Nothobranchius furzeri: one gene and its partners. The main gene of each other region encodes a partner of the protein of the gene in region 5 in a complex. Links are inferred from orthologs where the notes say so. Each region holds a gene or a part of one and is shown on either strand. Other genes may lie near its edges. The genes, in order: ppil2, rbmx2, cwc22, crnkl1 and dhx16.

Evidence for each region.
Region 1: dhx16 (region 5) and ppil2 share a complex: the UniProt entries of both Homo sapiens proteins name them as parts of the minor spliceosome. The link is inferred for Nothobranchius furzeri from reciprocal best matches to the Homo sapiens genes DHX16 and PPIL2.
Region 2: dhx16 (region 5) and rbmx2 share a complex: the UniProt entries of both Homo sapiens proteins name them as parts of the minor spliceosome. The link is inferred for Nothobranchius furzeri from reciprocal best matches to the Homo sapiens genes DHX16 and RBMX2.
Region 3: dhx16 (region 5) and cwc22 share a complex: the UniProt entries of both Homo sapiens proteins name them as parts of the minor spliceosome. The link is inferred for Nothobranchius furzeri from reciprocal best matches to the Homo sapiens genes DHX16 and CWC22.
Region 4: dhx16 (region 5) and crnkl1 share a complex: the UniProt entries of both Homo sapiens proteins name them as parts of the minor spliceosome. The link is inferred for Nothobranchius furzeri from reciprocal best matches to the Homo sapiens genes DHX16 and CRNKL1.

What each region holds. Positions count from the first base shown.
Region 1 is NC_091750.1:38,465,598-38,470,262, forward strand, and holds part of ppil2 (RING-type E3 ubiquitin-protein ligase PPIL2), read left to right. Parts: intron 1-137; coding exon 138-189; intron 190-452; coding exon 453-504; intron 505-1,383; coding exon 1,384-1,475; intron 1,476-1,697; coding exon 1,698-1,787; intron 1,788-3,491; coding exon 3,492-3,567; intron 3,568-3,649; coding exon 3,650-3,810; intron 3,811-4,635; coding exon 4,636-4,665. UniProt on the Homo sapiens protein: Has a ubiquitin-protein ligase activity acting as an E3 ubiquitin protein ligase or as an ubiquitin-ubiquitin ligase promoting elongation of ubiquitin chains on substrates.
Region 2 is NC_091750.1:26,772,393-26,777,594, reverse strand, and holds rbmx2 (RNA-binding motif protein, X-linked 2), read left to right. Parts: upstream 1-2,098; 5' UTR 2,099-2,204; coding exon 2,205-2,209; intron 2,210-3,415; coding exon 3,416-3,531; intron 3,532-3,712; coding exon 3,713-3,764; intron 3,765-3,847; coding exon 3,848-3,977; intron 3,978-4,105; coding exon 4,106-4,292; intron 4,293-4,366; coding exon 4,367-4,737; 3' UTR 4,738-4,816; downstream 4,817-5,202. Other genes in the region: ap4m1 (AP-4 complex subunit mu-1), read right to left, coding at 602-698, 803-909, 1,141-1,226, 1,300-1,361. UniProt on the Homo sapiens protein: Involved in pre-mRNA splicing as component of the activated spliceosome. As a component of the minor spliceosome, involved in the splicing of U12-type introns in pre-mRNAs.
Region 3 is NC_091754.1:30,021,537-30,026,915, reverse strand, and holds the start of cwc22 (pre-mRNA-splicing factor CWC22 homolog), read right to left. Parts: upstream 3,331-5,379; 5' UTR 3,211-3,330; intron 2,277-3,210; 5' UTR 2,274-2,276; coding exon 2,219-2,273; intron 2,153-2,218; coding exon 1,941-2,152; intron 1,706-1,940; coding exon 1,428-1,705; intron 1-1,427. UniProt on the Homo sapiens protein: Required for pre-mRNA splicing as component of the spliceosome. As a component of the minor spliceosome, involved in the splicing of U12-type introns in pre-mRNAs. Promotes exon-junction complex (EJC) assembly.
Region 4 is NC_091742.1:17,430,091-17,433,809, forward strand, and holds the end of crnkl1 (crooked neck-like protein 1), read right to left. Parts: intron 3,693-3,719; coding exon 3,501-3,692; intron 3,432-3,500; coding exon 3,372-3,431; intron 3,300-3,371; coding exon 3,219-3,299; intron 2,298-3,218; coding exon 2,058-2,297; intron 1,989-2,057; coding exon 1,887-1,988; intron 1,817-1,886; coding exon 1,568-1,816; intron 1,425-1,567; coding exon 1,089-1,424; 3' UTR 958-1,088; downstream 1-957. Other genes in the region: naa20 (N-alpha-acetyltransferase 20), read left to right, coding at 94-118, 216-306, 382-517, 592-737, 804-889. UniProt on the Homo sapiens protein: Involved in pre-mRNA splicing process. As a component of the minor spliceosome, involved in the splicing of U12-type introns in pre-mRNAs.
Region 5 is NC_091745.1:60,406,979-60,411,643, reverse strand, and holds part of dhx16 (pre-mRNA-splicing factor ATP-dependent RNA helicase DHX16), read right to left. Parts: coding exon 4,655-4,665; intron 4,585-4,654; coding exon 4,330-4,584; intron 4,242-4,329; coding exon 4,008-4,241; intron 2,876-4,007; coding exon 2,684-2,875; intron 2,311-2,683; coding exon 2,200-2,310; intron 2,126-2,199; coding exon 2,010-2,125; intron 1-2,009. UniProt on the Homo sapiens protein: Required for pre-mRNA splicing as a component of the spliceosome. Contributes to pre-mRNA splicing after spliceosome formation and prior to the first transesterification reaction.

The DNA of each region.
Region 1 (4,665 bases), on a different chromosome or scaffold from region 5:
TGAATTATTCCGAAGCCGACATGCTCTATTCACTTGTGGTACAACAGATTTTCTCAGATGGTGACTGTAGCAAACAAACATGTTTTATGGAGGAAACGTTTATCCTGATTTAAAAAAGTCTTTGTGTTGTACTTTAGGAGCATTGTTCCTTGGATTAAGAAGTATGGAACCAATCCGATCTCTGGAGAAGTAAGAAAATATTTTATTTGTGGTAAAAATATCATAAAAAAGTACAGATAAAATATTTGCTTCAAATCTTTGACTCCGTGGTTTTATGAACTCTTCCAACTTGTCACAAAGGAGATGGATCTGAGTTTCACCTGAATTCATTATTTTATTAATAAAACAGCATAAGTAGGCATTTTTAAGGTTGCTGGGTCAGACAGGCTCAATGTCAAATCGAAGATTCAGGTGATATTTTTAACTAATTTGGATTTTTTTCTGTTTTACAGAAACTGGAAGCAAAATCCCTCATTAAACTTAAAATTGCAAAGAACAACGATGGTAAATCTGTTTACATGTTAGCATAGCTCTGCATTGTATTTGTATCGCACCTTCTTAGGCTTCTACAGCCCCCCAAGGCGCTTCACAACACAATCAGTCACACACCCATTCACACGCTGGTGGGGATGAGCTACGATGTAGCCACAGCCGCCCTGGGGCGCTCTGACAGAGGAGAGAATGCCGAGCGCGGGCGCCACCGGTCCCTCCGACCACCACCAGCTGGCAAGGCAGGTTAAGTGCCTTGCCCATGGACACAACAGCAGAATTCTCTGGCAGGAGATGTGATCGAACCCACAACCTTCTGATTACTGGACAACCTGCTGTACCTCCTTAGCCACTGTATTAAAAATACGAGTGAAGGACCTCAACAACAAAAGCAAAAGTTGTTTTTTGCAGCCTCGAGATTCTCGTTAACCAGAGAAACTTAAAAACGGGACGATTGCTGCCGAAGCTCGTCAGATTTGAATTCAATTAAAAATGAAAAGACCTGTTAGTTATTAGTGTGACCTTTGCTCCCTGCGTTTGACCCATCCCCTGGGGGAGCGGTGAGCTGCAGACAGCTGCACCCGGGAGCCATTTGGTGGTTTGACCCCCCCAGTCCAACCCATTAACGCGGGGTATCAAGCAGGCAGGCAGGCGTTGGGTTCCTTTTGGTTTTTTTAGTCTTTGGTATGACCCCACCAGGATTTGAACCCCAATCTCCCGGTCTCAGGGCGGACACGCTACCACTAGGCCACTGAGAAGGTATTCGTGTTGTTCTTCAGACCGGTGAACAAAAGTTTTAGATACTTTATGATTTCCAGAGAAGACGAACATTTATCTGACCGAACTGAGACTGATTATCCCTGCTTTCTCTTTTATTTCTGTATCGTGTTCCAGGAAAGTATCACTGTCCTGTTCTCTACAACGTCTTCACAAATAATTCCCACATTGTTGCCAACAAGGTGACTGGAAATGTGTTTTCCTATGAGGTCAGTAAACTTTAACGATAGTCAAACACAAACAGTTCTCCCTTAAACATGTACAGATGTTACGTCCTATTCAAACCCTAAAGGTTAGCGTTTTTACAGAAATGTTGAACATTTTCAAATATTTTTAAATAACTTGAAGAAACTGGTAGGAATCCATAAACCTTCCATATAAACAAATAATAAATTAGAGATGATGTGATGTTCCTGGTTTGGTTTCCTCAGGCCGTCGAGCAACTAAACATCAAAACCAAGAGTTTCAAAGATCTGCTGACAGATGAACCCTTCACAAGAAAGGACATCATCACACTCCAGGTTAGTCGTTTCTTTTGCAGCGCCTCGATCTCGCTGCCACTGAAGTTGGTTTTGTTTTCCCCGGGAAGAACGCAGGGATTTCCCTCGAGCTTTATGGCATTTACACACTAGCATCGGCTCCACTCCGCCTGGACCGGGTTGGGAGTGTTCTCATTTGGATTTTCTCACCGGACGTCTTTTTAGCCCTCTTCCTGAGGCGGTCTGCCTGGAGCCAAACTGGTCCAACACGCTACCTGCTGACTGGCTGGCTCAAAGTCACGCGTACTTTTAGGGGGAGCCTCCGATTGGCAGATAGAATCAGCTTGCAGGGGCTTCCCGTCGGCACAATTCATTGACTACGTTTACATGCAGCCTATATCCGGGTTATGATCGGGTTAAGGTCGGTATTCGGGTTTCTGAGTTGATCAGAATAACCCGTTTACAAGCATAAATAAAAAGAGTTACCTCTAACTTACATAACCCGATTTTAATGCGGACGTTGGGGTAGCGTCAGGACGTATGGACTACGTCCAGACGCAATATGCCTCATTTCCGGTTCTTCTCGTTCCGGTATCCGTGAAAACAACAACATGTTTCCCAGTTCGGAAGAGATAGCGACCGCATTTGTTTGCGCTTTAGTTTCTTTGTCACTCCAAAAGTGTGGTGCTGTGCCGTGACTCGCCATTTTGCTCCCAACTTGTTGTTTACTTCCGGAGTTCTCGCGCATACAAGACGTCTCGCTACTCAAAAGACCAAGATTCCTTGCGAACAGAGCATGCGCAGAACACACGCTTTGATGGGGATATCCCGATATGCGTTTACACGACCAAACACTCGGGTTAGAAAAGGGTTACCCCAGGTGTAGTAATCGGGTTTTTAAAAACCCGGTTATGAGCATATCCGGGTTTCTGGCGGTGTTTACATGGACCTGCGGAACCGGGTTATTGTGAATATTCGGGTTTTAAAAGGGTTACTGGCTGCATGTAAACGCACTCAGTATCATTCTGGATGCTGTGGTGTTAACGAGCCTCTGACTGAAGCCATTTTACTTTGTCTCTCACTGCTGTGAGGAACACACACACACACACACACAGCAAAGCAAAGCAGGATGCTGAGTCTCCAAAAGCAAGACTGCTCGGGCTGCTTTTGCTTAATAATGAAGACCCCGTGGAGTGGACCTCTGTGCTCTTTTGTCCCGCCCACGTGCTCGGAGATCCGATCATGACATCACAGGCCACAGACCGCCCATGTGCTGCTCAGTTACATCGCTAAGGCAGTGGGGGACGAATGTGGCCAGGCTGGGGTGGGCGGAGCAGAGTGGAGCTGATGCTAGCGTGTAAGTGGCATTAGAGGACCTTGTGTGACCAAGTATGGTTAATCGAGTGCGTTTCTGTATGTAAACGACATTCAGGCTAACATCCTGAATTTGGAAATATGACAGTTTCTAGTAAGGTTTGATAAATGAGGCGCTGGAGCGGCGGGATCCAGACCCGAGACTCCTGGATGGGGAGGAGCGGGGCAGTGATGACACAACTAAGCTCTACCCAGGCTTTTGCTGAAGCTTAGCAGAGTTTTCCAGAGCTGAAGGAAAGAAGCAGCTGAGACAGGAAAATAACTGCTTTACGTTGCTTTTCATCAGGAAATAATAAAACACGGTCAAAAGCTCCAAAGACTGGAGTTCGCACGATGCAGGCCCTTAAAAACATCTGCTTTCTGTTTTTAAAGGACCCCACAAACCTGGATAAATTCAACGTGTCAAACTTCTTCCATGTGAAGAACAACCTGAAAATGTCAGATGCAGGTAATTTTTACTTTGAGATCGGAGTCAAATTTCTGGTTTGTTGTGAGTAAAATACTTCTTTCCTTTATCTGCTGCCGTTTAGACGAGGAGAAGGCGAGGCAGGATCCAGCGTATCACCTGAAGACTACCAACCTGGAAACCAGGGAGACCTTGGCTGAGCTTTACAAAGACTACAAGGGGGATCAGCTCTTGGCTTCCACCATGAAGGAGCCAGAAGCCAAGAAGACCGACAAAATAAATGCTGTAGGTCAAATCTTAAAGCAGAACAACTCTGCTTCAAAAGCTCAAAGTCGGACACAAGAGGGCGCCAAACTGTGAGTTATGGTGGAGGGAAAAGGAAAAGAGTAATGGGAGATTCTGTTCATTTAAAGAAAAAACAAGAATGAAAAGTGAACAGTTGTGTTCTCAGATATGATGACTCAGATTAAAGTCACAGCTGCTGGTTTGGTTCTGGTTAGGGTTGTTGTTGCGTCGTGGTAAATGATTAACTACTAACTACTAAACCAGACTACAGCTACCAACATGTTAGCCAGACTGTCTCCTTTTCCTTCAGTATTCAAATAAACATTCAGAGTGGAACGTATTCAATGTGCCGTCCTGTTGGACTTGATCCACCCCGGTACCAAAGGCAAATGTGTGCTACATAACTCATCTGATGACTGGGAGACGAGTGGCCTGTGACCCGTTTTATGGATTAGTAAAGTCAGTTTCCACAAAAGACCATCCACTGCTTTTCCCGACTGCACCTTTTCTTTTCTAAGCCCATTTCTGATTCACTCTCCGTGCAGCTAGCAGGGTTTCTGTGCAGGTTACAATAGGAGAATAGAAAAGTAAACGGCGTTCCTCCCACTACTAAACCCAAACCAAAAACAGGGTTTCAGTCAGTAGAAGTAGGAAACATTGTTGTGCAGAGGTCATAAAAGAGGTCAAAGAGCTGACGGTGGGTGTTTTAGAGGTCACATCATATCTCATGTGTGGATGAGCTTTAACCTTTCGTACTCGCCATTTATTAGTATTGAAGAGGGCAAAAAGCCGACCTGAAAGCCATGTTTGTGTTTGCCCCCCCAGGCCCACTACTCAACAGGAAGAGTTTCTGCC
Region 2 (5,202 bases), on a different chromosome or scaffold from region 5:
CGTGGGAGTTAATGACATTGTGAGACTCCCGTGTTGAAATGAAAACTTTGATAAAGGCCGGAAAAGGAATTACCAAAACACTAACACAAAGAAACCATAACATAGTAAACCAGTCATTTCCTAAAACAAAATAGAACAAAATACTAAAATAAATAAATTCCAACATGAGCTTAACCACAACATGGGTTACACGTGGCTTCTTAGGAGTAGAAGAAATAACTTCTGGGTCACTCCTGTTTACTGGCTTTGCTTAGTTAAACAACTCTGAAGCTGTTGTTGAATTACTGCCAGCACTGTAGCGTTAGCTCAGGGCAGACATGGCAACCTCACAGAGAGTAAACAGTAACTACATCCCTCTTTAGTTTTTTTAAAAGGAGAAATCTGAGTCCCCCAGCCAGCTGTTTCCGGTCATCCTTCCTTCCAACATGACTGGGACACTGAGACACTTTTGGGATGGTTTCACTGTAGGATTCTTACAAATAGCTACTTTCAGCACAGCCAGGTGAGAGAGTGGACCTTTTAGATATAAGGCGGGACTTGTGACACCCTGAGGGTCAGAGGCTCCTGATGGGGTGTAGCACCCCCATGGTTAAAGACTCACCAGAACCTCATCCAGCAGCTCGTAGATCAAAGCGAAGTTCTCCTGGATGGACTTCTCAGAGAGTCTGCCACAGTAATCCCTGACCAGCGCCATCAGCCTGAAACATGGACCGGTTCTGTTCAGTCAAGATGTTTATCAGCTGACATCTAGGTGACCAGCAGGCAGCTCCATCTGAAGGTTCTGTTTAGAACCAGAACAAACCTGTTGAGGAACTCGATGATGGTGAACGGTGAGGAGTCGGCTGTCGTCGTGGCGACCCAGTAAAGGCCTTCATGTCTGACATGTACAAAGTGCAGGTCTCTGTCGCTCTGCGGGACACAGAATCAGGTTTGTTTTACTTTTGACTCTCGAATCATCTGCATGGTTTCAGTCCAGTTCCTCAGACAGTAAACAGACGCCGAAACATCGTTGCTTCATCCTGATGTGACTTCTAATCTAGTGGTTCTGGTTTGACCTACTCTTCGTGTTTGGGTCAAATCAGAACTCAAAACAACACAACAGTTTGGGTCTAAATGTGTCCCAGACTGTGGAGGCGTTACCGTGACGACCAGAGGTTGGTCTCCAGTCAGCGCTGTGACCTTCTCATAGAAGATGTTGACCACATCGTTTCCTCTTTGGCCTCGGTCTGATTGTTGGCTTGGGTTAAGCTCTAACTCCTGATAGGGTAAAGTCTCACGGGACTGGAAGCAAAAGGATACAGTCCTTGTAGATGAGATGGTCCCCCTTGGAGGACAGGATGAAGACCTGAGAGATCATCCTCCTGAAAGGAAGATCACAAGCACAAGATTAATGATAATGATAACTAATATTTATATGGAATATCACACCTTATTGATCATTTAATAAAAGTGACCACTTCCGTCACGTTACAACATGTTTATCAGAGTTGGAATAAAGCCAAATCCTATCTAATTTATTGTATTATAAGTGTTAACAGCACTGTTGTGTACTGGTGAGAACCTGCAGATAAAACTACAGAAGTTCCGCTAACGGAAAGGTGGATCTGTGAGGGGTTACAGCTGCTGTACTCGCCTGCGGAAGGTGTGGGGTCTACCTGGAAGAACCAGATCTTACTGCGGCTATTTTTAACAGAACTTCAAAGGAAATGAAAGCACGGCTGGTGCTGCTTTGGCTAGCAGTAAGCTATAGATAAACTTTAATAACTCACAGGGCCGCAGTTTTCAGAAACGCTGAATACAACCAGATAAGCTCATTGTCTGCAGGGTTACAAAGCTAACCTGACAGAAAGGTTTTGGGTTTATATTCAGGTTATAGCTACGGTTTACGACACGGCTCCGTTAGCATGTAGCCCCACAGCGCTCCCTTGTGGACAGGAGGTTGAATGAGGATTGCATTAATAACTTTATATTTATTAACTTCACGATGAGTGAACTCATAGCTACGTAAGAAATTGCTTCAGATACATCAACCTAGATGGTTTGGGTGTGTTATATAAACCCGAGAGAAATAATCTGCACATGTTTAATGATCGCTTGTAGTTTAGATCTCCAAACTGCAGAGGGCAGCAGAGACGAACCAAACGGAAGTGGTCTACCTCAACAAATAAAACGTCTGATCTGTGCCCTAATTTCTGTAACTAACTATGAAGTAAGTACATTTATGTATTCATAAATGACACGAACCACCGACACAACACTGTTCTACTTCTTGTCGTGTAGTTAAAGTAAAAAGAGCGAGTTCGTTATTCTGCGGTTTGATGACTGATCCTGGTGCAGCATGCTAGCTGTTAGCTAGCTCCTACTCGTAGCCGATCGGATTCTGCTCAAAAAACAGATAATTTAACATTTTTTCCTTAAAAACCAGAGAGAGCATGTAATAAAACATAAACACCCAGTTGTGTTTGGGATGTAGCATGTATCTTTGATGCTTCAAGAAGACATTTGATCATGTGTAGGTTGGCTATTGTTTTGTTTACACCCCTGACCTTCTACTACGTGTTTTATTCTAGACCAGTGTGTCTGATAAAGTTGACTAATAATTTATGTCAACTGCTGATGAAGACAGGACCACAAGCTTGGTCATATGTGGTGTTATCTTTTTCTCATGAATGTTTCTACGTCTGCTGCAAAAAAAAAGATCATTCGACTAATAAAACACACCACTCCGATCGTATTTACCCCGGAAGTCAAAGGGGACACATTTACATGTATATCCAGCCATTGTCTGAACCCGCATATCCTCACAGGGTTCTGGGGGGCTGGTGCCTATCTCCAGCAGTCTCTGGGCATGCAGGCGGGGTACATCCTGGATGGGTTGCCAGTCCATCGTCCATCGTAGGGCAGCCCAGAGGCACACAGGACAAACAACCATGCACAGCCACCTAAGGATGATTTAGGCAGACCAATCAACCTGACAGTCGTGTTTTTGGACTGTGGGAGGAAGCCGGAGTACCCGGAGAGAACCCACGCATGCACAGGGAGAACATGCAAGCTCTATGCAGAAAGACGGGCTGGGATGTAAACCCAGGACCTCCTTGCTGCAAGGCAACAGCCCTCAGAATTAAAATGTCAAATTTAAATCAAGCCAACAAGTGAAACGGAGCAGCTCGACCAGGAACACCGTGGTCCTGCTGGAGGAACAGGATTATGCCTGCTGCTGCTGAAGGGTCATTAGGGTCAGGCTCAAGGTTGGGGTTGAATAGAAAAGCTCGACTCTTTTTCTCTGTAGTCCAAACAAAAAGCAGTTTTTCTTTCTAAATTGTCCTGACAGCTTTTCACAATAAAACTCCAATTGAGTCAGAATCAGGTCCAGTCCCTAACGGGACGATTTACTGAGCAACTTGTGTGTTTTCAGTCCTCTAACGAAGGTGAAGCTGATTAACGAGCTGAATGAGCGCGAGGCTGACCTCGGCATCAGCGAGACCGTCTCCTGGCACACAGAGTACCGGGACAGTGCCTGGATCTTCATCGGTGAGAACTCCTCAAACCCAGCCCTTCACACGTGGAGACGTTGGGATGAGTTTGGTGTTTTGGGCTTTTGGAGACGATTTGCTTCTGTTCATTAACAACATAAAAAGGGATCTCATGAATGAAACTGTTGAAGTGGGTTTGTTTGGTTCTGATGATGCTTACGAGGTCTCGTTTCCTGCAGGAGGGTTCCCCTTCGAGCTGACTGAAGGAGACCTGATCTGTGTCTTCTCCCAGTACGTACATGCTTACGTCTCACCTGCTTTACGTTATAGCTGACATGACAGTGACGTTTGTCTCCTCTCGACAAACCTGCCAGGTACGGAGAGATCGTCAACATCAACCTGGTGAGAGACAAGAAGACGGGGAAGTCTAAAGGGTTCTGCTTCATCTGCTATGAGGACCAGAGGAGCACCATCCTGGCAGTGGACAACTTCAATGGCATAAAGGTGACTTCCTGTCCTCACCAGGTCCTGGTGTGGACCCAGCGCCGCTCCTTGCTGGCCCACAGCGGCATCAACATGGTCTCTGATGAGACAATTAGCTAAAATCTTTTTGTTGTTGTTTAAACGTTCAGATTAAAGGTCGAACTATCCGCGTGGATCACGTTAAAAATTATCGTCCTCCCAAAGACAACGAGGACATGGACGATGTGACCAAACATCTCAGAGAAGAGGGCTGTGCTCCCAAAGGTCCTACTGTTGTCCCCTCTTCCTCTGAGGAAGAAGAGCAGTGCGTCGTACCTGCGAAGAAGCCCAAAAAAGGTGAGGTCACTTCCTGTTACCTGAAAGTCACCTGATCTAGGACCAGGTGGACTTATTTCCCTTTTCTGTCTCAGATAAGAAAGAGAAGAAGAAGAAAAAAAAGAAAGAGAAGAGGAAGAAGAGCAGAGCTCCCTCTTCATCACCTTCTCCTCCTCCTGCAGTCTTCAGACTGAAAGAGGAGAAGCAAGACGCCGCCTACGACAAGTACAACCACAAGGAGGTGCCTGCAGGGCAGAGGACGAGGGACACGGAGAGAGGAAAGGGGACAGACAGGAATGAAGACAAGTGGAGGAACTGTGAGAGAGAGGTGGACAGAGACAAGGACAGAAGAGACGACTATAGGAGACAAGAGATGGACAGAGACAAAAGACGAAGAGAGAGGGAGTGGGACGAAGACAGAAGAAAAGACGGAGACAACAGGAAACGGGAGCCGTATAGAAAATAGACAGGTTGTGATTGGCCGATCCATGGTGTGTGTGTGTGTGTTTTAATGTTTCGTATTAAAATCTGACCTGAACACCTGATACACTTCATGTCTGATGTCCAACACCTGAGGACGGGTGAGACTTTTACAAAGCAACACGTTGGCGAACTCGTGAAGCATTTCGGCGCATTCCCCAAACTGTCTGCTGCCACCTAGTGGACATCAGCGTAATCGCAGGCAGACCGACGTCAGGGCCCGCTCTGAAGTTTCCGCGTGCGTTCTCCGTGATGTTGACGTCCTGTTATTAATGTTTGAAGGTTCAGTTGAACAAATGCGACATGTAACCTGCGGAAAACCAAAGGAACGATGTGAGAATCGTTTAGAAACTAAATTATGATGGGTCAAGCGGAAACTGAGCGCAACGGGATGAAAAAGGAAAGGAACGGCATAAAAAGAACAAACTGATCCTCACGGACCACCTTCCGT
Region 3 (5,379 bases), on a different chromosome or scaffold from region 5:
TCTGAAATCACTGCCTGGGTTCCATTTTTCAAAGCCTCGATTGTCCTGTAATTTAGATAAAAATACATCTTATTAGCAAAAGAAGAATACAAGCACATGTAAGAAGTTTTGACAGTGTCACTTGAAGAAGTCCGATATTCATTTTAGATATATATTTAAGGCCTCTAACTCCTGAATGATTTGCAGCTAAATGTGCTTAAATCCGGTAATATTAATATAAACCATACCCGATCAAAGCAGTCAGTGGACAAAAATATCTTTTTTTTATAAGGTTAGGATTATTCTGAAACAGAATCAGAAGGAGGGAGGGAAGCGGCTACTATTTCAAAGTTATTGTATCTGTTGCAGGACACCTGATTTGTGCAACCACAGTAGAATGACCCAGCACAATACCGCACGCAATAACTTAAAAATATTTAGAGATATTGAAAGCTAAGCTTGTACAGAAAAAAATATTTTTGGGTGCACAGGACCAGTTCCAGTGTGAGCCAGATGCTGAAAAATAAATTCATAAATCTGTCTTTTCTGAAGTTTCACAAATCAGAGGAAGGTTTCACATATCACAAACTATGTTTTATGCATTCTGCTACTACGAGCCCAGAATAATCTAAAACAGGTTTGAAGAACGTATGTGTTGCAGTTTTTGAGCTAGAGCAGAATAAAAATGGTCTGAGTAGAGAAAAATTGGGTGTATTAGCCCTTTAGCCATTTCCCGAATCGGAAGCTAACTTTAGCCTCGTATGAAAACTAGTGATTGAAACCACTTACAAATCTCTGAAAATCTACGCTTTTTAATTAAAAAAGGGTATTAATAACGTTTCAGTCAAGTCAGTATTAGAAATCGTGGTCTTTATATCATATCTAAATTATATATAAAGTTTATATTATTACTTTAACTGTTTTAACAAACAGGGAGACGAGAAAAATCAAATAGCTAAGTTAAAGCTAAGCTACAATTGCTGATAGCTTTATTTATGTAGCTTTTGTGTTAGCTTGTGAACTCCCTGCATTCGTTTTAAGACTGCGTGTTAATATTGATACAATTAGCTATGAAACACGGTGCCCTTTGCAATAATTCTCTGGTAAAGCTTTAAATGCTATAGTGCCTACATTTAAGAACTAAGAACGGTTGCAACAATTAGTTAATTTCATCCTTACCTTACCTCTATGAAACCAGCCGAGTATGGTTGAAACAAAAGCGGCCGCCAAAAAAGACCAACTTCCGGCCGAGGTCTTTCGATCGTCGATTTTCCGGTAAAAGTAATGACACGCCATCTTGTTCTCGCTAGAAAGTTCTTTCGGTGGCACGCCAGCTGATGTCTGCAGCCAGATCCTACTCAAATTTAGTGAATCTTCTCTAGTAAATATGAAAGTTGGTAGGTAGATGTAGGCATGGTGTTAATGACACGTCCTGAGAAACTTCTTACCGACCAAAACGTCTTCTATCAAAGCGTTCCGTGTTTCGGTCTCTCTCTCTTGACCTGGATCTGTCTCGTCCTCTGGATCGAGCTCTGACTCTTTCTCTGGACCGGGACCTGTCTCTCTCTCTGGACCGGGACCTGTCTCGCTCTCTGGACCGGGACCTGTCCCTCTCTCTGGACCGGGACCTGTCCCTCTCTCTGGACCGGGACCTGTCCCGTTCTCTAGAATGAGATCTGTCTTTTTCCCTGGATGAAGATTTGTCCTTCTCTTTGGATCTGGATGTCTGGAAAGAAAAAAAAAAGGATTTTAAGGATGTTATATTTTGATCATCGCATGTAAAAATGATCTGAAACCTGAAGACAGAAGAAAATGAAAACATGAGACAAGAAAAATAAAGTCCTACTGGACTTCTGAAATATCTTTTTAGTGAGTTATTTAGTTTTTCTGCTTTAGTTTACAAAGCAGAATTAAAGAGCGTAATAATTGAAAACACAAAAAGAGCAGGGCTTGATTCTTACATTTATCTGAGCCACACTGCTCCTAATCTTCTGCAGTGCATCTTGATGTTCCTCCTCATCCTCACTGTTTCTGCTGTCGGAGCTGCAGGGGGCAGGACTCTTAGAGCCTGTGGGACCGGACTGAGGAGAGGATCGCTTTTCGGGGTTTCTCTCTGCCACACCGGCCTGTTGGGGTATCGCTGCTGCTTGATTGGACTCATCTTCTGATGGCTCTGTAGACAAAGAAGATGAATATGTCATTTCTGGAAAAACATAAAGAAAGAAACTGTGAGTGTTACCTTTGTGTTCTCTATGTGCAGGACTGGGACTTTCACTTTTGGCTGAAGAGTCCATTTACTAAAATAAAGATTAGAGTAATCTGTTAATTTGTTATCCAAACTTTTCTTGTTTCTAATAAACAGAATGTAAAAACTCCTTTGTTGTTTGTGCCATATGAAATCCTACTGGTCCTTATTCTCCGATAACAGGAAAAAATGTTAGCAAATATAAACGTTAATGTAAAATGGAAAGAATCTCTTTGTCAAGCACTGGTTGATTAACTAGAGAAAATAAAAACGGACCAGTCAATATAAATGACGTTTTGACTTTTTAAGTGACTAAGCATTTCATCTTTTCCCAGAAAGAAAACCTGGATTTAAAAACCATCGAACTGACATTAATTCATTCTTTATCGACCTTTAGGCTGCTTAAAAGTAACTAAAAGAAACTGGTATTTTGGTTTAATTTGCTAGTGTTTATTCTATGGATATACGTTTATTTATATGTCTTATTAAGTCTAGTTGTTTGGATAATGACGTTGCTACCTGAAACAAGACGAGTAAAAATATTTTTGCGACAAGCGATTAAAAACTTTATTTAATGACCCTTAAGCATAAAATGGACAACATGAACGAAATAAATTCTGTCACCCCGTTTCAAAAACATGTTAGACGTATTTTCGCTGCAGTTTTCAGCGGAGTTGTCTTATTCAAAGATATGATACAAAAACAACTAAGAAACCAACTCCTATTATTGGCCTTGAAAGGAAGAAATCATTCAACGGGTTTATTTATACGTCCAACAGGACAACGCTGAGACGATATAATAACACACCATAACTGTGTGTGAATAAACTTTGTTTTAGTCGGAATTTTCTGTTGTCGCCATGTGTCTTAATGCGCTAAAGCTAGCTCTGTCGCTAGCGCTATATTGTTATTTGCCAGTCTGCCATCTAATCCTTTATATTTTTAGATTTTCAATAACTCTGCAAAACGATGTTAACCAAACGTACCTTCCGTGCCACTAATATCCAATCTTCTTTAGATATTTCCGACTTTCCTAAATCACTGTAGTTCGACTAGCGGAAACCGTCTAAACATTAAACCATATCCGTTAGGTCAAAGGTTACTTCCGGGTTTCACAATAAAAGTTTCAAGTTTTGCAAGCTGTTGCCAATTTTCCAGTTACGGTGAAGCAAGAAAATTCACCCTCTCAGAAAAATACATATAAAAAGGTAAAAAAATAAAAAAAGAAAGAAAAAAAAGAAAGAAAAGAAAAAAGACATGTGAACACAGTTTATTTTGATGTTTTAAAGTTGTGAAGCATTAACTAAATTATAATAATAAGAAGAAGAATCTTGGTACATGTTAGGATGTAAAAAATAATATAGCTTTCATTGTTCAAGTTTGTTTATTTATAACTAATTACATTGTGGCAAATAAATAAACAAATATATAAACTTATCTTCAAACTGTCTGTGCTTTTTGTCCTAAACTCCAGCCACTGAGCTGAATTCACCATGACACATTACATCAGTCATGTTCTGTCTAACATGGAGAAGGGTCTTCTTTCTTTTAATAATCAGACATCCTTCTTCATAACACAAGTAGTTTGCAGTGGATCAGGGTGATCTGACCTCACTTGACAGGTTCTGTATGCAAAAATGAAAGATTAATATATTAGGCTATTGTAATGCAAGCTTGTAAATGATTTTCACAACTATTCAGGAATTCACTTTAAGAAGGGTGACAAGATGGAACACATAGAAAGAAAGAACAAGAAGAAGAAAAAAAGAAGAAGAATGCTTCTTCTTGTTCCTTCTTGCTCCGTCTTCTTGTTCCTTCTTCTTCTTCTTCTTGTTCCTTCTTCTTCTTCTTCTTGTTTCTTCTTGTTCCTTCTTCTTGTTTCTTCTTGTTCCTTCTTCTTGTTTCTTCTTGTTCCTTCTTCCTTCTTCTTCTTCCTTCTTCCTCTTCTTCTTCTTCTTCCTCCTTCTTCCTTCTTCTTCTTCCTTCTTCTTCTTCTTCTTCCTTCTTCTTGTTCCTTCTTCTTCTTCTTGTTCCTTCTTCTTCTTCTTCTTGTTTCTTCTTGTTCCTTCTTCTTGTTTCTTCTTCTTCTTCTTCTTCTTCCTTCTTCCTTCTTATTCTTCTTCTTCCTTCTTCCTGTTTCTTCTTTCTTCATCTTCCTTCTTCCTGTTGTCCTCCATGGTGCGCAGTAGGACACAAGGTTCAATAAAGCACCATTAGAAAGACACCCCAAGTCATGTCCTCCATCATTAGTGCTTCCAGAAATTGGAAGCATAGCACTCTCTTCATGCTATCCCCACTGATGTAGAGTGGTTTAATGACACTATCTTACACTAACTGTGCCATGCTGAGGCCTACAGCCAAGTCTGAATCTCTTCAAATGAAGATGTGTGGAATTAGTCTGGATGTCAACCCTGACATCAGATCGACAACAGCTGTGGGCTGACCAGCCATAGGAAAGGATACATTGGCCTAATTCCACACCAAATGAAGTTAATCCTCATCCACCCACACCATAGATACTATATTCTGCACACAGATTGAACTTAAACTTTTTCTGATTCTTAAATCTGAAATTGATTTGTTTATTTAATTAGATCTAAATTAATTTTTGTATTTAATTTTGTGCTGTCACATTATTTTAATGTCCGTGCTATTCTCACAAACGGAAGGCACATTGAATTGCCTCGGAGTATGAAATGTGCTGAACAAATAATTACAGGCACTACGTGTAACGTGCAGATTTACGATTTACAGGTGCTGGTCATAAAATTAGAATATCCTGACGACGTTAATTTTTTTCAGTCTCCCAATTTGGAATAAGAATAGCTTTTTAGAATACCACCAAATTAAATCTGTAGTAAAACAAACATTTAAGCTCAATAAAATAGAATTGCAAACACCACCAAGGGTATAAGACTTCTATAATCCCAAACCCCCCAAACTACTGTCTAAAGTATATAAGACACTGTCCAAAATAGACGATAGAATAGTAATCCCTATTGAAAAATGGGAGGCGGATCTATCAGTCAGCTTTGACCAGAACTTCTGGTCCCAAACTTGTTTAAAAACGTTTAAAATGATCAGACACTCCAATTTACAATTAATTCAGTACAAAATTCTACACAGAGTACACTATACAGGTCATCGGATGTTCA
Region 4 (3,719 bases), on a different chromosome or scaffold from region 5:
AATGTAGCTATAGAAGACAATAACGTTAACAGGTGTGACGTGTTTCCTCTTGCTTTCCCGCACAAACATGTAATAAAATGTTTTGTTCATCAGAAACTTGGATCCTCTGACGGAAACCGTATCCTGACTCAGCAGAACGAACCCATGAGAACGGCTAATTCATGCTTAGGTTCAGCTGTTTCCTTGCTTGTTTTTCTTTAACCTTTGACCTCCAGTATGGGATCCCGTTCTACCTGCAGTACCTGGCTCACTGGCCAGAGTATTTCATTGTGGCTGAGGCTCCGGGTGGCGAGCTGATGGGCTACAGTGAGTTCTTCAGTTTTCTCAGTGAGTTGATGACGTCATCGCTGCTACAGCTTATCTGATTGTTCCTGTCACCAGTTATGGGGAAGGCGGAGGGATCTGTAGCCCGGGAGGAGTGGCATGGCCACGTCACGGCGCTGTCGGTGGCTCCAGACTTCAGACGGCTCGGCCTCGCTGCCAAACTCATGGAGATGCTGGAGGAGATCTCAGAGAGGTTTGTGCTGGCAATCAGACGGAAGAGCAGACGTCCCTCAGAGACCTGATGAGACACGTGTCCTTGTCCTGCAGGAAGGGAGGGTTCTTCGTGGACCTGTTTGTGCGAGTGTCCAACCAGGTGGCAGTGAACATGTACAAGCGTCTGGGTTACAGCGTCTACAGGACTGTGATTGAGTATTACTCGGCCAGCAACGGGGAGCCCGATGAAGACGCCTATGGTGTGTGTGTGTGTGTGTGCGCGTGCGTGCGTGTACATATCTCTGACCAACTGTTTCTTCCTGCAGACATGAGGAAAGCTCTGTCCCGAGACACAGAGAAGAAGTCCATCATCCCACTGCCTCATCCGGTCAGACCAGAAGACATCGAATAACAGCTGACCCTCACCATCATCACTTCCTGGTTACTCGTCACACCCAGAGACTGATTATAGAAAACACGTGGCTTCATGTTTTTATTTCCTGTAAATTTTCAATGAACATTTCCGAAAAATATAAAAGTGTGTGTGTGTGTGTGTGAGACAAATGAGCTATTTTAGTTCTTTAACTGAAGGAAAACCAAGGTGAAGTTTCTCAAGGAGGACTCTGGTCTTTCTCCTCCTTGTTGCGCCGGCTGCCCTCTCTCTCCTCCTCCTCCTTCTCCTCCTGGCTGCTCCCGTCGGATCGGTCACCGTGTGTGTTCTGCTGCTCCGTCTCCATTTGGATGCTCTCATCCTCCGGCTGCTTTTCAGGAGTTGCAGGTTGGTGAGAGGAAGATTGTTCCTCCTCACCTGCTGAAGACTTGTCTCCATCGTCCCTCACCTGCTGCCTCTTCCACATCTTGGCCATAGCGAGCAGCTTGAGGTTGGGCTGGTTGGCAGCATCTTCTGGGAAGATGTAGTCATAGTATTCTTCCCAGCCTGCGTCGGACTGATGGGAACAGAAACACCTGATCAGCTGAGAACATCTGGACCATGAATAATTAAAGGTAACGGCTGGGGCTTCACCACTAACCATTGGACCACAACAGGGTTTTGAACCGACCACCACGCTCAGATGAAAGTATTCCTTACCCCGTCTTCAGCTGTCAGCTTCCTCCTCTTCTTCACCTTCTCAGGCAGCAGCTTCCTGACCCGGTCCCTGGTGCTGTCGGACCCAAACTCCTTCTCAAAGTCTCTCCAGGACTCCAGCAACATCAGCCGCTCCTCTTTCTCCTCACAGCTCCTCATGCTCTTGTTGGCCTCCTCGTAGATCTGGCGACACTTCAGCAGCCGCGTGGGTTCATCAATGGACAGCTCAAACTTGGCAAAACTGATCCAAACCTGCAGGAGCAGAACTGGGTCAGCGTGGCCTTGGGAGTTCGAACCGGTATCTGGTTAGACCCAGTCTCACCTTGACATGCTGAGTGCGCTGCAAGAGCCTCCTGTAAAGGTTCCTGGTGTTCTCAAACTCCTCCTGCTCGATCTCAAAGTCGATGTAGGACTTCCACAGAACCTGAGAAGAGAACAGGGTCAGAGGTCTGAGTCCCGTTTGTTCTGCAGCATAAAACTAAGCAGTCCAAACCTCAGGCATGTCCAGTCGTGGCTGTCCAATGGCAAGCTCGAAGATGGCCCGAGCTCGATCCATGTCTCCCAGAATCGTCTCCAGTTCTGCAAACTTGATCCAGGTGGTGCAGTTCTCTGGGGTGAACTCCAGGTACTTCTCGTAGAGCTTCCTGCAGCGATCAAACTCTCGCAGCTGCAGCTCCAACTCGATGTACCCCTTAAACAACTTGTTCTTGGGACATTTCCCGATGGCCGTGCCCTGCATGGGGGTGGGGGGTTTAGCCTGATTGATACTTCTCTGTGAGCTCCACAACGGAGAGATGCACACGGAGTGTCGGAAAGGTTTTCACATTCGACTTTCTGCTCAGGCAGCGGAGTGTTGGAGAGCGATTCCACGCCAGGCCAACAGAGGGCGTAGCGCTGTTCTGTGGTATCCTGCCACCATGACCCCGTCCCCTATAGTGTATTTACTAACACGGACTAATGTGTCCCTAACCTCAACACCCACGTTTCCCGTGGTTTCAGGCCACGCTTGCTCTGTATTTTGTACTCCTTCACTCACGGGTGAATAACGTTCATATTTTCGGACCTTATATTATATTTATTTAAAGAGCAAGACACCCCCTACCAGAGTATTACTCCACTCCCACTTCCTGTTTGAAAAATGCATTAAATGCTGTTGCCTAGCAGACTGAGAGGGCGGAGCCGCTAACAAATACGCACACACACAGGCTCACAACGACATTGTGACATCATATGGTACCAGCTAACATTCTAGGGTACCTCTTAGCCAATAGCGATGGCAGATTTAAATTCAACTACAGAGCAGAGTTTTTACCTGACAACGGCACAACACTGACAGTTTTAGGCAGAAAATTTAAATTTTAACTAAAATGCACTAAAGTGCTAAACTATTGACTACACGTGTCTGCAGCACGATTAGACACGCATTTGTATAGTTTATCAGAAAAAAAAAGTTGATTTGGGGGTGACTTGCTCTTTAAACATTTATAGGGAACCTTTGGAACAATCAGCAGCAGCTGCTCAGCTGAACGTTGGGCACGAGTGGGTGTGTAGAAACGCAGGTCGGCCAGGTAAGAGGGTTGGGGCAACGCAGAAGTATAAATCAGGCTTAAGGTTGTGTGGTTTGGTTTTACAAGAGTGCAGCGCCAAAGCTCACCATGATCTTTCTGGAGTTCTGAAGATTCTTTTGTCGGATTTCAAACTGAGCATGAAGCAGCCACATCTTAGCAAATGTGAACTGAAAGAGAAGAGAAAGCACGTCACAGCCTGGTGGTGGTGGGGGGTTACATCATGGTGAAGTTCTAAAGACCTTCTTGTGAGGGATCAGCTCCAGACAAGCCTGGTAAACCTGCCTCGTCCTCTCCGGGTCCTGCCGACACATGTCACCGTTACACCGGTCCGTCAGCGCCCTCTGCAGGAACGCTGCAGGACCACTGACCTTGGTCTCCAGCTCCTCGTACAGAGCGTAGTTGATCCACAGGTAGATGTAGCGCCTCCAGTGTCTCTTCTCCTGCAGGGGGGGCACATTGGCAATGGCTCGTTCGTAAACCTCTCTCACCGTGTCGGCGTCCGCATCGCTCTCCACCAGCCGCAGGTAATCAAACCAGGCGTCGTAGTTGTGTGGGTTAGCCTGAAGGACGAGAAGTTGCTGAGTTTG
Region 5 (4,665 bases):
AATACATCTGGACTTGACATCTGGTTTAATCTCTGATCATTAAATCTTCAGTCAGCAACCTGGTACTTCACCCTTTGACCTACCTCCACCTGGATGAGATCGCTGCTCTGCTGCACCTGACAGGGGCGTTTTTCAGAAGAGAAAAGATGACATCCGACCTGATGCAGGCAGCGGTATCGGTCCATGTCTAATCTAAACTTGGGCTGGAGGCTAATTTATGCTGAGGCGGCTGTTTTGTTAGCTTCAGCTTGTAATCAGAGTAAAAACCTGAAGTTGTCATGAGACGATCTGAGAAACGAACCTTTGTTCACTTCTCCTGTTTGAGCTGAAAATTCAGACCAGATTGATGATGATGGGACTTGAAGACTGGGATTCATTAACCTCTTGTTAACTGCTCTTTAATGTCAAGAATTTTTCTTAAACCACTGAAAACTGCTGCTGTTAAACCCCTTCTAAAGAAGAGGAAACTAGATCCCTCAGTGATGAGCAACTACCGACTGATGTCTAATCTCCCTCTGATCGGGAAAATTATGTAAAAGGAGCAATGATCCAACTAAAAAATTTTCTGGAGTCAAGTAATATTATGGATGGTTTTCAGTCAGGTTTTAGACAGCACCACAGTACTGAGACTGCACTGATCAAGGTATTAAATTACATTCGTCTCAACACTGACACAGGTAAAGCATCTGTCCTGATGATGCTCGACCTCAGTGCAGCCTTTGACACAGTGAACCACAACGTACTCCTCGACAGGCTCGCAAATTGTGTGGGACTAACCGGTTCAGTCTTTGCCTAAATCAGCGTTTTATCACCTTCATCAACTACCAAGAGGTCTCATGTCCAGACCAGACTTAGAGAAACTTATTCATGCTTTTATTTCTAGTCGGCTGGACTATTGCAATGGTCTCCTAACTGGTCTTCCCAAAAAAGCTGTGAAGCAACTGCAGCTTGTTCAGAATGCTGCTGCTAGAGTCTTAACAAGAACCAAGAGAACAGAGCACATCACTCCCGCTCTTAGATCCCTACACTGGTTACCAGTAAACTACAGAATAGATTTCAAAGTGCTCCTACTAGTTAATAAATCACTCAATGGCATGGGACCAAAATACATGTCAGATCTCATTCCTGTATATACACCCAATAGGGCTCTGAGATCCTAAGGAAACAATCAGCTGGTAGAACCTCGGGTCAGAACCAGACAGGATGAAGATGCTTTTAGCTACTATGCTGCTCACATATGGAATCAGCTCCCCCATGACCTCAGATCTGCCCCAACTCTAGTATTGTTTACGTCAAAACTGAAAACCCTCATGTACTCATCAGCCTTTGAATGACTTGTTTGTTATGCTGCATCGTCTCCACTGTAATCTGTGATGTAATTGCTCAACCTTAATTCTGTCTGTTCCTTTTAGCTCTAAATTATGTTATTTGTCTTCTCCTGTTTGTTGTTGCTGTGCCATTTAATGATAATTGTAAAACACATTGAATTGCCCCTGTGTTTGAAATGTGCTATATAAATAAAGGTGCCTTGCCTTGCCTAGCCTATTATGGTTTGTGATGCTGATGTGCTCCGCTTGTTTAGGTCTAAATACATCATTTAGCTAACAAGTCAACACTTACAGAGCACATTTTATGTTTATGTTCCTTATTTAGCAGAAGCAAAGATCCCAGCTCCACAAAGTACGGCTGCAGCTTGGATTTAACCCTCCCACTGTCCTAATGGGTGTGACCCTGCAAGGAAAGTTGACCATTGAGCAGGGTTGATGGTTTATTCGTTGGGTCCATGTGGCAGGGGTGAGGAGTGAGCACCACCTCACCCCTGCCACGTGGACCTCAAGGGATAAACCATCGATCCTGCTCAATGGTCAACTTTCCTCGCGGGGTCACACCCATTAGGACATTGGGAGGGTTAATCCAGCAACCTCTTGATGGGACCAGCTGCTCCACCATGCACTGTGTAGTCCCTTAATCTAGGGTCAGAGGTCAGGGTTTTAAATGGCCTGTAATACCTGTAGCTGGCCAGGTCGGGTTCTGTGAGAAACTCTCGGAGCAGCATGCCGTCGGTCATGTACTTCAGCACCGTCCGCTCCGACGTGCAGTCCTCAAAGCGGATGCTGTAGCCCACCTGGGCGAGGACAACAAGCTCCAGATTAAAACAGTAAATCAGACGCGGGGACATCTTCATCACAGCAAACTCACCTCATTACCGAGCTTCACACTCATCTCCTCTGCCACTCTGGCTGCCACTGACATGGCCGCCACCCTCCGAGGCTGAGTGCAGCCAATCTTCATCCCTCCTTTGGTGTAGCCCTGAGAAACGGGAATACGGTACGTTATCGGGTCTGACGGATGGCTGCAGGTCTATCTGCCCATCTCCAGGTGGGACAAACAGAACCTTGAAAGTCATCAATATGTTGATTATGTTTGTTGATGTATGTTAAGTTTCTATTTAAAGACGCTGGGGTAAAGCTAACGGTAAGCTAGCAGCACTGACTATTTAGTAGCCGTGAACTATCTCCCAAAAAAGAATTCTTTAATTAATAAAGCTGAAAATTTTAAACATGATGTGTAAAATGTCCAATGAGAGCGGAAACATCCTTAAAATTGTTTTTAGTCAGTAAAACATTTTATTTGACTCGATTTTAAGTCCATTTTATTCAGCAGAACACATCTTAGCACTCACGTCCTCCAGCAGGTACTGAGGGATCTGGGTGGTCTTTCCGGAGCCCGTCTCCCCCTCGATAACCAGGACCTGGTGCTCATGGATGGCAGCCAGCAGGTCGTCTCTGTAGGGGAAGATGGGGAGGCTGCGCCGCACCTCCTGGATGGACCGCTTCTTTAGCTCCGCCTGAGACAGCTCCGGCGCGTCCTGATCCTGAACACAGCACAAACCATCCAGGAAGTGTTCCTGCCGAGTCTTTGAAAGGACGGCTCAGCCAACCGGACCAGATATTCATTTTTCAGTTCATTCAATCAAATGATGGTGGCTTTGAAATAAAACGTGCACATAAACGTGCAGAACTTTGTGTTTTCCTGCTGTTTATATTTGATCTGGCTCTGAGAAATAAGAGGTTTCTGCCACAAAGACACAAACATGTTGGTTTTCTGCTCAGCTTTACCATCAGAACGCGTGAAGCACTAAAGCGGCTGGATTAAAAATAAAAACCCTCAGAGACGTGTCCCTGAGAGAGAAACCGCAAACAGAAACAGGAAATGGCATCATGTTTTGATCTCATCTGATGCCAAAACAGATTTTTGTGTTTAGAGTCCAATAAAACCTAAATGAAGTCTGTTTTCATTCTGCATCCAGCAGAGCCGAGGCAGACCTACCGGGGCTGTGTTTGTGGAACCAGATGGGATGTGGGTCGGGAATTCCCACCTGAACGCAATCAGCATGACATCACGGGGCAGGTGCCTTGATCCCAGTTTTCACTTAAGGGAAAACACTTCATGTGTTTCAATAAAGGGGGGTGGGGCTTAAACAAGAACCGTAAATCACCAAATAGTTCCCATGGGCAGCCACCGCTGCATCTCACCGCGCCCCACAGGGACCAGTCAAATGCAGAGATGTAAATTCACCAGTGTGTGACGACTAATGGGACTTTAACTGAACAGCCACTTCCTGACACACGTGTTTTTAGATCTTCAGGTCTTCTGCCCTCTGGTGGAAAAACCCAAGATCAGAGACATCCACAAGTCCCTTCTCCGTGTCCAAGACACGTCTCAAGCCTCTAGTGACAAAAATAAGTCTCAACTAATCAGATTCCTGCCAGCTGCAGCCCAGAAACAGTGGACGTTTATGAGATTCTACTAATGAAGTGTCCCCAGACCAAGTGTCGTGGTAAAGTTCACAGTTTAACGTTTTAATGAAACAACCTCAAGAAAAAAGGCCGTTTTAAACCGATTGTGGGTTTATGACGACTACTTTGCCTCATTCTGGGTCAAAGACGACATCAGAGTCAAACGGAGCCACATACAACTAAAGGTTGGTGCTGAGTCACCCACACCTGTTCGGTCCGAGTTCCCTTCATGGTGATGGCTGTGCTGACGAAGTCGATCATCTCCTCCTCCTCCAGGACCAGCTGGTACCTCTCCTGCTCCTGCTTCATGCCCTGCTCTCGCTCTCTCTTGGCTCCGAAGCTGAGGGTAGCTGTCTTCATTCTCTCCTCCTCCCAGAGGCCCTGCTCTCCTCCCAGCTCCATCGGAGTTTCCTCCAGCTCCAGCTCCTTCTGAGGAACTTCCTGCTCAGCAGACACAAGCGGGAGGAGGTCATTTAACTGGAATCAGTTTGGTTTTTTCCCGTTGTCCCAGTACACTCCTCGTTCTTACCTTCCTCCTAACTTCCTTTGGCATGTAGTATCTGTTCTTCCTCTCCTCCTGCTCCTTGGCACCGGCCTTCTTGTAATCTTTAGCCAACTCCCAGACGGTGCGTTTGTGTTCCAGATCCTTCTTCTCCCTCTCAGTCCGTTCATCCGCGGAGAATAGGTACTCCTCGTCTCGGATCTCAGCCTCCAGGTCTTCCAGCTTCTCAGCCTCCCTCTTCTTCAAATATTCCCGACGAGATTGTTTCCTCAACTCTGGCAGCTGCAAGCAGAAAAGTCACACAGTCACCGTGAACTCGGCAGCTGGAGGAGATCGGGACACGAGCACCAACCATGTTCTTCT